Diceros bicornis minor: one gene and its partner. The protein of the gene in region 1 binds, or shares a complex with, the protein of each later gene. Links are inferred from orthologs where the notes say so. Each region holds a gene or a part of one and is shown on either strand. Other genes may lie near its edges. The genes, in order: IL22RA2 and IL22.

What was found.
Region 2: the proteins of IL22RA2 (region 1) and IL22 are in contact, whole or in part, in a crystal structure (PDB 3G9V), measured with the Homo sapiens proteins. The link is inferred for Diceros bicornis minor from reciprocal best matches to the Homo sapiens genes IL22RA2 and IL22. Residues at the interface, in NP_443194.1 of Homo sapiens: Lys65, Ile66, Tyr99, Gly100, Gln101, Arg102, Trp104, Gln128, Glu129, Pro130, Tyr132, Met148, Pro150, Arg151, Thr153, Trp155, Trp156, Glu157, Glu200, Pro246, Met247, Leu248, Asp249, Arg250; in NP_065386.1 of Homo sapiens: Phe47, Gln48, Pro50, Thr53, Asn54, Phe57, Met58, Lys61, Ser64, Leu65, Asp67, Asn69, Thr70, Asp71, Val72, Arg73, Leu74, Lys162, Gly165, Glu166, Asp168, Leu169, Met172, Arg175, Asn176.

Annotation. Positions count from the first base shown.
Region 1 is NC_080762.1:1,503,015-1,506,928, reverse strand, and holds the start of IL22RA2 (interleukin-22 receptor subunit alpha-2), read right to left. Parts: upstream 2,951-3,914; 5' UTR 2,755-2,950; coding exon 2,694-2,754; intron 1-2,693. UniProt on the Homo sapiens protein: Isoform 2 is a receptor for IL22. Binds to IL22, prevents interaction with the functional IL-22R complex and blocks the activity of IL22 (in vitro). May play an important role as an IL22 antagonist in the regulation of inflammatory responses.
Region 2 is NC_080756.1:2,851,212-2,855,125, reverse strand, and holds the start of IL22 (interleukin-22), read right to left. Parts: upstream 2,921-3,914; coding exon 2,735-2,920; intron 2,302-2,734; coding exon 2,236-2,301; intron 2,113-2,235; coding exon 1,969-2,112; intron 1,052-1,968; coding exon 986-1,051; intron 1-985. UniProt on the Homo sapiens protein: Cytokine that plays a critical role in modulating tissue responses during inflammation. Plays an essential role in the regeneration of epithelial cells to maintain barrier function after injury and for the prevention of further tissue damage.

The DNA of each region.
Region 1 (3,914 bases):
GGCAGAGGTAAAGCCTCGCCTCCTGACAGGCCTGAAGTTTCTGAGGAGACATGGGAAGCTGGGCGGAAGGGGGAGGCAGGAAGCCCACGCTCTATCTCTTCCCTGACCTCATCTTCTCCACCTCCTCCTGGCTTCTCCAGAGTGGTCTCCTTTCCTGCTCCGCCGTGCTGGGGGTGGTCCCACCTGAGGGTCTCTGCACTGGCCCTTCCCTTTCCCTGGAATATTCTTCCCTGGATTTCCACATGCCTCATCTCTTCATCTCCTTCAAATCTTTGCTCAAGTATCGTTAAGCTGGAAGAAAAGACTCCTAGGCCCATGATCTCAGCTCTGAACATTCAAGATTTGTTATGTTCTAATGAACAGGGCTGTTGCCTTAGGTATTTATTTATACCAACAAAATAATGTTAATACTGTTATTTGTTTTATGTTTTGGATCTCCTCCAGTGCATCAAATGGGGTGTGTACTTGGAAAGAGTTGTGGGAGATCAAGATTTGGCCACCCTGAAATATATCTCTTCACCTTGATTGTTTTCTCTGACAGACATTTGACCTCCCCCACTAACTGCCTAAAGAATTTGACGTAGAAGATCTGTTCCAGGAAGGAGTTACTATCTGATGGCTGTAATATAATGTAAAATAGATGTTACAATAGGAAAGGCACCAACAAGCCCATCTTATCAAAAATTCTATCTCTCTGGCCACATTCTCTGGATGGCCCTGCAAGGAGTTGCCAGACAAACATTTACATTTATATGGGAAATCTCCATTTGTAAAGGTATCTCCCTCTCTGTATTGGGAAGAGGGGAGATGACCTCATTTCTAGAAACTTATCAATGTGGAAGGTGAGGCCTTAAATCTGCATAATAACCTTACTCTTGTTTACTGTGCTTTAGTGGTAATCTCCTGTAACTGACTCCCCCACCCCCAACATCCTCCTTTGTCTTTAGCTGAAGATGGTATTTAAGATGAGAATCTCTGCTATTGTGTTGAGCAACTCAGTGTCCCTGGTTTCTCCCACGTATACATGTTATTAAACTTGGTATTATTTTCTCCTGCTAACCTGTCTTGTTAATTATTTGGCCAGCCATAAGGACCTTAAAGGAAAGGGCAGAGGGGGATTCTCCCTCTTCCCCCACAGAGTCTATGCCACCACTGATTCTGCTCACCAAATCACTACCTAATCAATCATATTTAGGACATAAAAATTCCAGAAGTTTTCAGGATATGACAGGCACAGTTTCCTAGAGACCCTGCTCAGAGTTGACTTTACCTTGAAGATCGATGGCTCAGTGCCCCTTGTCTCATCTGTCTGTGCATTTCTTCTCTCACTTCTGTGACACCACCCCTGCTACCCGCATCAACAATAACAGCAAATGACTGTTCCAGACACAGAGGGGCTTCACCCTCATTGACTCAGTCAATCTGCCCAGCTCTTCTGTTGCCAAGGTGCTATTGTCATCTTCCTTTTTCCGACTAAAAAACCAAGCCTTGGACAGGTGGAGGAACTCGCGCAGCAGCAGATCGTGAAGCAGATTTCTCACTCAGGCAGTCTGACCTAGAGCCTACCTCTCACGTCCCACAGAAAACCAAGAGCCTAGCCTGGGGGAGAGGAGCTCACGGAGGAGCAGAGCAATGAGAGGCTGAAGGATGCTGTTCCTCCTCCTCCTTCTTGCCCTCTTCCTCCTCCTCCCCTGGCTGGCATTCATTGATCATTGGACATATAAGAGCATTAAACATATATTAGGAACTGTGCCCAAGGCTTTCCATCTTGCTTCATTCTCACAACCACCGATAGGGTAGGTATTTTTATTAGTACACTTTACAGATGGGGAAACTGAGGCTTGAGGACACTGCATATCTTGCCCAAGGTTACAGGCCTGTAAGACGCGGAGCCAGGACCATTTGTAGCTCTTGACTTCCCACCATGTTTTGCTAACTGAGTCCTTGGTATCACCTTGGTATCACCTTCTCAAATCCACACCTTTCTTGGGGACAGAGGCTTGAATTGTTTTGTATTATCAGTCACTGGGCGCCTGTCCAGTCTTGGGAAAGTTACTTGAACCCCTTACACTAAGGTAACCTTCTGTTAACTAGGGGTTCTAAGGCCTTGTTCAGAGGTGTGGTGGGTGATAAGATGCTCTGTGCTCTGAAAAGTTCTCAGTGAATATCAACAGCAGATTCTCACATGTTGTTTACGATCTCTATTCTGTGCCAGGCACTGCCCTAAGACTTGGCATATATTAACTCATTTAATCTCAAGTGACCTACAATCCCCATTCTGCAGATGAAGAAATTGAGGCACCAGGTTAAGTCAATTGCCCAAGGTCCCTAGATAATAAACAGCAGAGTTGAAATCCAGACTCAGCGTGGCTTAGGAGCCTGCGCTGGCAACCGCTATGCTATCGTGTCCCAGGAAGGCAAAAGATGGAGATGGAGAGATGGATGTACCTCTGCCGTGGTTGGAGTTTTCTGCCCCCACTAGAGTGCCTCCTCTTTAGTAGCAGCTCATTAAGTCCCGTGGAGTTATTCAGGCTGCAGATAGAAACTGCCCACAGGTCTGCTCTGACCATTGTGTGACAAAAGATACTGAAATTTTTACAAAGCCCAGAGAAGCACCATTGCCATTTCTGACAGTCCCTGGAGCAAGCTCAGATGACAAAGCTGTGAGCAATTAAAAGAAAAGAAGCACTTACCGACCACTTGAGTCAGGGAGACACTGACGAGGAAGCCTAGAAAGCAGTGTTGGGGTGTCATGGCTGTGCTGTGACTGCCGGACAACTGGGGTTCCCCTCAACGACAGAAGAGGAAGCTGGGGTCCTCACGCTGCACACTCCCTCCTGGGTTCAACCACAGTTCCTTGAAGCAGCTGAATCTCATTTTGCTAATACATTATATTATTTTATTATTTTAGAGGAATTAGAAAAGCGTAAGGATCACTTCAAATAACATTTGCTCTTAGTGACTCTGATGTGGAAGTTTGTTTTTGTTGGGACTGGGGCTTTGTTAGCTGTGAAAAGGCAAAACACTGAGATTTGGCGGATGGAGGGCAGGAGAGGGCAGGGGAGGGTGAGGAACCCTGCAGGGCGCTGGCGGGGGTGGGAGTGAGCCACCTGTGAGGCCTCCAGGGGAGTTGGCCCTGGAGGCAGGGAGCGGCCAGCGACCAGGACTTGGCCACAGGTGATTTGAGTGATCGGTGCTCGGCAGGTGCAGCTCTCAGGGCCCCTTGGCGGTGGTTCAAGCAGGTGGGGTCCCCAGTCGATTCTTCCTTCTCCTCCCTTCTCCGAGGCTCCCCGACACCCCCGACCCCACCCCAAGACACTTCACCCTCTGCACCCCCGGCTCCACACAGGGCTCCCTGCCACACCCCCTTCCCATCCGCATGGCCCTGGGCCCCACTCAACCAATGCTCTTCCTTTCCCATCCCCACCCTCAGTTTCCAGCAGTCTGATGAGATTTTGAGCTATCGAACCAAACGTGTCCTTAAAAGGATGAATGTGGAGAACAATGACTTTGAGCTGCATTAGATCTTTTTCATATCTTCTTTGAAATCCAAACGAACTGGGTCATCTGTTCTTTGCCCGTGAGTCATTATATCATCTTTCTTATCAAATGCTTTTACCACATGTTTTTGAGGCACTAAAAGTATACATTAAAGCATAAGAAAATCACAAAGATTTTTTTTTTTTTTAAAAGGCTGTTTGGGTCAAAAGAGGAAATATATTCTGGAGTCTTTTTCCCCTTGAGTAGTCTCTTTCAAGCTCTTGGTAGAATGGCCTCTTTAGTACAGAACAGTGATGGCTGCTGGGCAGTACTCCCCCGTTCCCTCACTCGCTCATTCATTCAACAACATTTAACGAACATCTGCTATCTACCACGTATGTGCTAGGTAGTGTTCTCAGCAGCAAGGATGCGGC
Region 2 (3,914 bases), on another chromosome or scaffold:
TACGCTCGTTACTGAAAATGCCACCAGCTAGAGCTGGAGGGCTTCTGAGGGTTAACTGCACCTGCTCACAAGAGCATCACTTTCACTGCTACTAATCGTTCCTCTGGTTTGTGGATGAGTCACAACTGCTAGTCTGAGCCTCCCCCCCAAATAGGTCGAATGACTGTATCATCCGCTGTAGACACCTACACTAGCCTACTCCAGACAGATGTTCACTGGGGCTTGACTGAGGGAAGAAGACCGGAAAGGAAGGTGAAAGGAGAGAGGAAGAAAGGAGCACTTCCAATTCAGACTTCATTTCACTATCACAAATCCCTTACTATTATTTTCATTGTATTTGAAACTGTGTAAAAGAAATCAGGGGTTGTTCACTCTTGCTTTTAAATTAAAATCAATAGCTGTTGGGTATTATATTATGATAATTAAATATAAGTATTGGTCATCCCAGAAATTCATCCTATCTGCAAGTCCAGTTCTTCTGTTATTGTTGTTTGGGTTTTATTTCGCCAAGTTTTCAATTGTCAAACTAATGACTTCAAAAATCACTTCAAATACATGTGCCCCAGGCATTTTTTCTGTTTTTTAACAAATCCTTCTTCAAATTACAGGACTCAGTAGGATTCTTAAATTTCCCCAAGAATTAATAATACAAACACTAATGTATATGGCTGCTGGAAAAAGCACTAGCCTGGGTGGGTTCAGGAGACCTGCTTTCCAGCCCTGTGGGGCCCCTGGCCACGCTGGAACATGGGGTGATGAGACCAGACAACCTGACTTCCCAGCCAGTTCTAGAATTAAATTTGGAAATTGATTTATAAACATATAGACACATCTACGCACATAGGCTCCTACATAATCAACCCGATGGTGAGAGAATCAAGTAAAAATCACGACACAGTGGGAAAAAAGAAAATAAGTAAAAAAGAGAAAAACAACATTTGTCTCTCGTATTTACTGATATAGCATTAACAGTTACTAGCGGTACCTTTTTCACTGTGTCCTTCAGCTGTTGCACATTTCTCTGGATGTGCTGGTCATTGCTCTCAACATGCTACAAAATGAAAACCGGAGAAGCTGTTTTCACATGGTTGCACTGAAGCTTATGACCCTCGGTCCCTAACTGAGGATTATTACAATTCACCTGCAATTACAGTTCTTAGCAATTTTGCCCACAACGACCTAGATTTCACCAGTGACCTAGATTTTCTGAGCTCTTGAATTCCCTTGGACATCAAAATCCAGTCATTTCCTTCACCTGGGACCTCTCTTCGCCTTTCGGAAATCCTCCTGAGGTTTAAGCTTGTGGAAAGAGTGGAGTGGTTTATGCAAATTCAGTCAAGAATAAAGCCCTAACTGTACCTCATCAGAAATTCGTGCTCAGAACAAGAAACGTACACAAAACATCTCGTGTGAACAGCAGGCCCTCCTCAATAAATACAGGATCTCCCTCGCTCTGCCCACTCCACTTAAAACTTTTTCATAGTTTTAAATGTTCAGAGGCATCCAGTTCACACGCCTCCGATTTAGTCACTTCCCACGACATCAAAAGGGCGCAATCTTTGCCCACCCACCACTGAACAGTAAATCTTCATTTCCCTCTTTATCTCTTTCCCATCCCCTCCCTCCATCCACTTACACTTGGTGGATCCATTTCCACATCTAGGTGTTTTCCCTGACAGCTCCCAACAGCTTTCTCATCTCACATAACCTGAGATGCTTTTCCCCAGGGACAAATGAGCCTTCTCTGCCCTTGTCTTTCAACCCCATTCATCACCATAAACTCAAAATGTGACTCAATTCAAGCAAAAACAGACACTCTGTGATTCCAGATGGCTCCCATAACGGCGTTGCTGCCCGCTGTGGGGTGGGGGGGGAAAGGGCTCTAAGTGGGAGGAGGACGGAAGGCAGGCCACCAGGAGTGGGCAGGCCACCAGGAGTGGGCAGGCTTGGGCCGGGAGGAGAACTTACACAGTGGTTTAGCTTGTTGCTGAGCCTGGCCAGAAAGGACACCACCTCCTGCATGTAGGGCTGGAAGCGATCGGAGTGAGGGAGCAGCACTTCTTCAAGGGTGAAGTTCAGCACCTGCTTCATCAGGGAGCAGCGCTCTCTCATCTGCAGGTGAAAGTGGAGTAGCAGAGTCATATTAGTGGACATCCAGAAGACCCAAACCACCATCCCACTGCTCCACATATCCACGGACGGCACACTGCCCTGCTCATCACAGCTGCGGCTTACATTGACTCTGCGGAACAGTTTCTCCCCGATGAGCCGAACATCTGTGTTGTTATCTGCCAAACTAGCCTGGAAGAGAAGAAAAGACTAAGTGCCTGGACATCGAGGAGAGAAAAGAAAAGTCTGTAAGTAGAGATGGACTCTACCCCTTTCCCCAGAGCCACTCCACGAAGACTAAAGAAAGAATTCAGATGTGTGCATGAGTTTAAAATAATGCTCACAGGAGGAAAGGAAAAAAATGAATAGTCAGATGAGCTGCTAAATGTCTCTTTTTTTGGGTAAAACTCAATGTATGTATCCTGAAGGCCAAGGCGGAAGGTCTTTTGGTAAAGCCCCATCTCCAAAGAGTCTATGAAGAGACATAGAGAATGATCTCTGGTCTACCTGTAGAGATGAATGAGCGGTTCTTAAAGATTTTAGATGTGCTCTGAAGAAAACTGTTAACAACTATTTGGGCTCCAAGTAGCTAAGATGTGACAGCGAGAGAAGTTGAGATGGGTACCTCCTTGGCCAGCATGAAGGTGCGGTTGGTAATGTACGGCTGCTGGAAGTCAGACTTGTCGAGCCTGCAGTGAGAGCTGATGGGCACGGCCGCTCCTCCCTGCACCCACAGGGCAAGGAGAAGGAGGGAGCTGGCAGCCAGAGCCTGCGTAAGGGGAGAGCTCGCAGATTTCTGCAGGGCGGCCATGGCAGACAAATCTAACTCCAGCAATTGGCAACGAGGGAAGGAGAGCCTGGGATCAAGAGAAGAAGAAGCAAAGTCAACATAAAGGGAAAAAATTAAGTATCAAGAAGTATCAAACCGACCGATCATACCCACTTTGCTGAAACACTTACCTGTTTTCACGGTTCTGCTTGTGATCGGAAGGTAGACGCTGCCACTTTTATAGCCCCCACGACACCAAATTTTTTTGGTTGTGAAAAGCATGACATCAACAATTATCTAATTTCCAGTACTGTCTTCTGAGAACTACCTAACCACCACGGGAGGCCACAAACGCCACCTCCTATCCTTCCATCTTGATAGGCGAGCGTTCCCTAAAGCGTCATCAGTAGGGCCCGGAAGGTATTGTTACAGACAAATCCCAGAAACTTTCTAAACCCTACATAGTTTTCAGAGAAAACAATTGCTTTATCTTCGTAGATTCCAGATTTGGTATAATGTTTTTTGATCTCCTATAGTAACTGAGTAAGCATTTTTGGTCACGGTCTCATTTTCCTTCCAGCTTCTTAGATTCTTATCTCATTAGAGGTGATCAGAAATAAAGGACCTGTGTCCTATATCCTCTGCTTTAAAAGAAACAGTAATGACAGCTTGGGGGTAATTCCATTTTTAAAAATAATTTTATGTCATTTTTTAATATGCTGAATCCTGAAGAAGACTCACATTTTAAAAATAAGTGTTGGCTAATCTAAGCACAGTTTTCCTCCCATTTGGTGGCTTTTTTCAAGTGGTAATAACAATCAGGGTAGATGCAAACATACCTTAAAATTTTTTCATTAAATTGTAATCAATATCAATTTAAGTTTGACAATCTTAGTGTTGAACAACCTGATCGATATTTTTCTTATCATGCAAGTATTTTAAGAACACGGTCGTCGTAGTAGTTCATCTTGAAATTTTATCTGCACTCATTCGAAACAACACACAAGTTAAGTCTCAAAATGAGATTTCCAAAAAT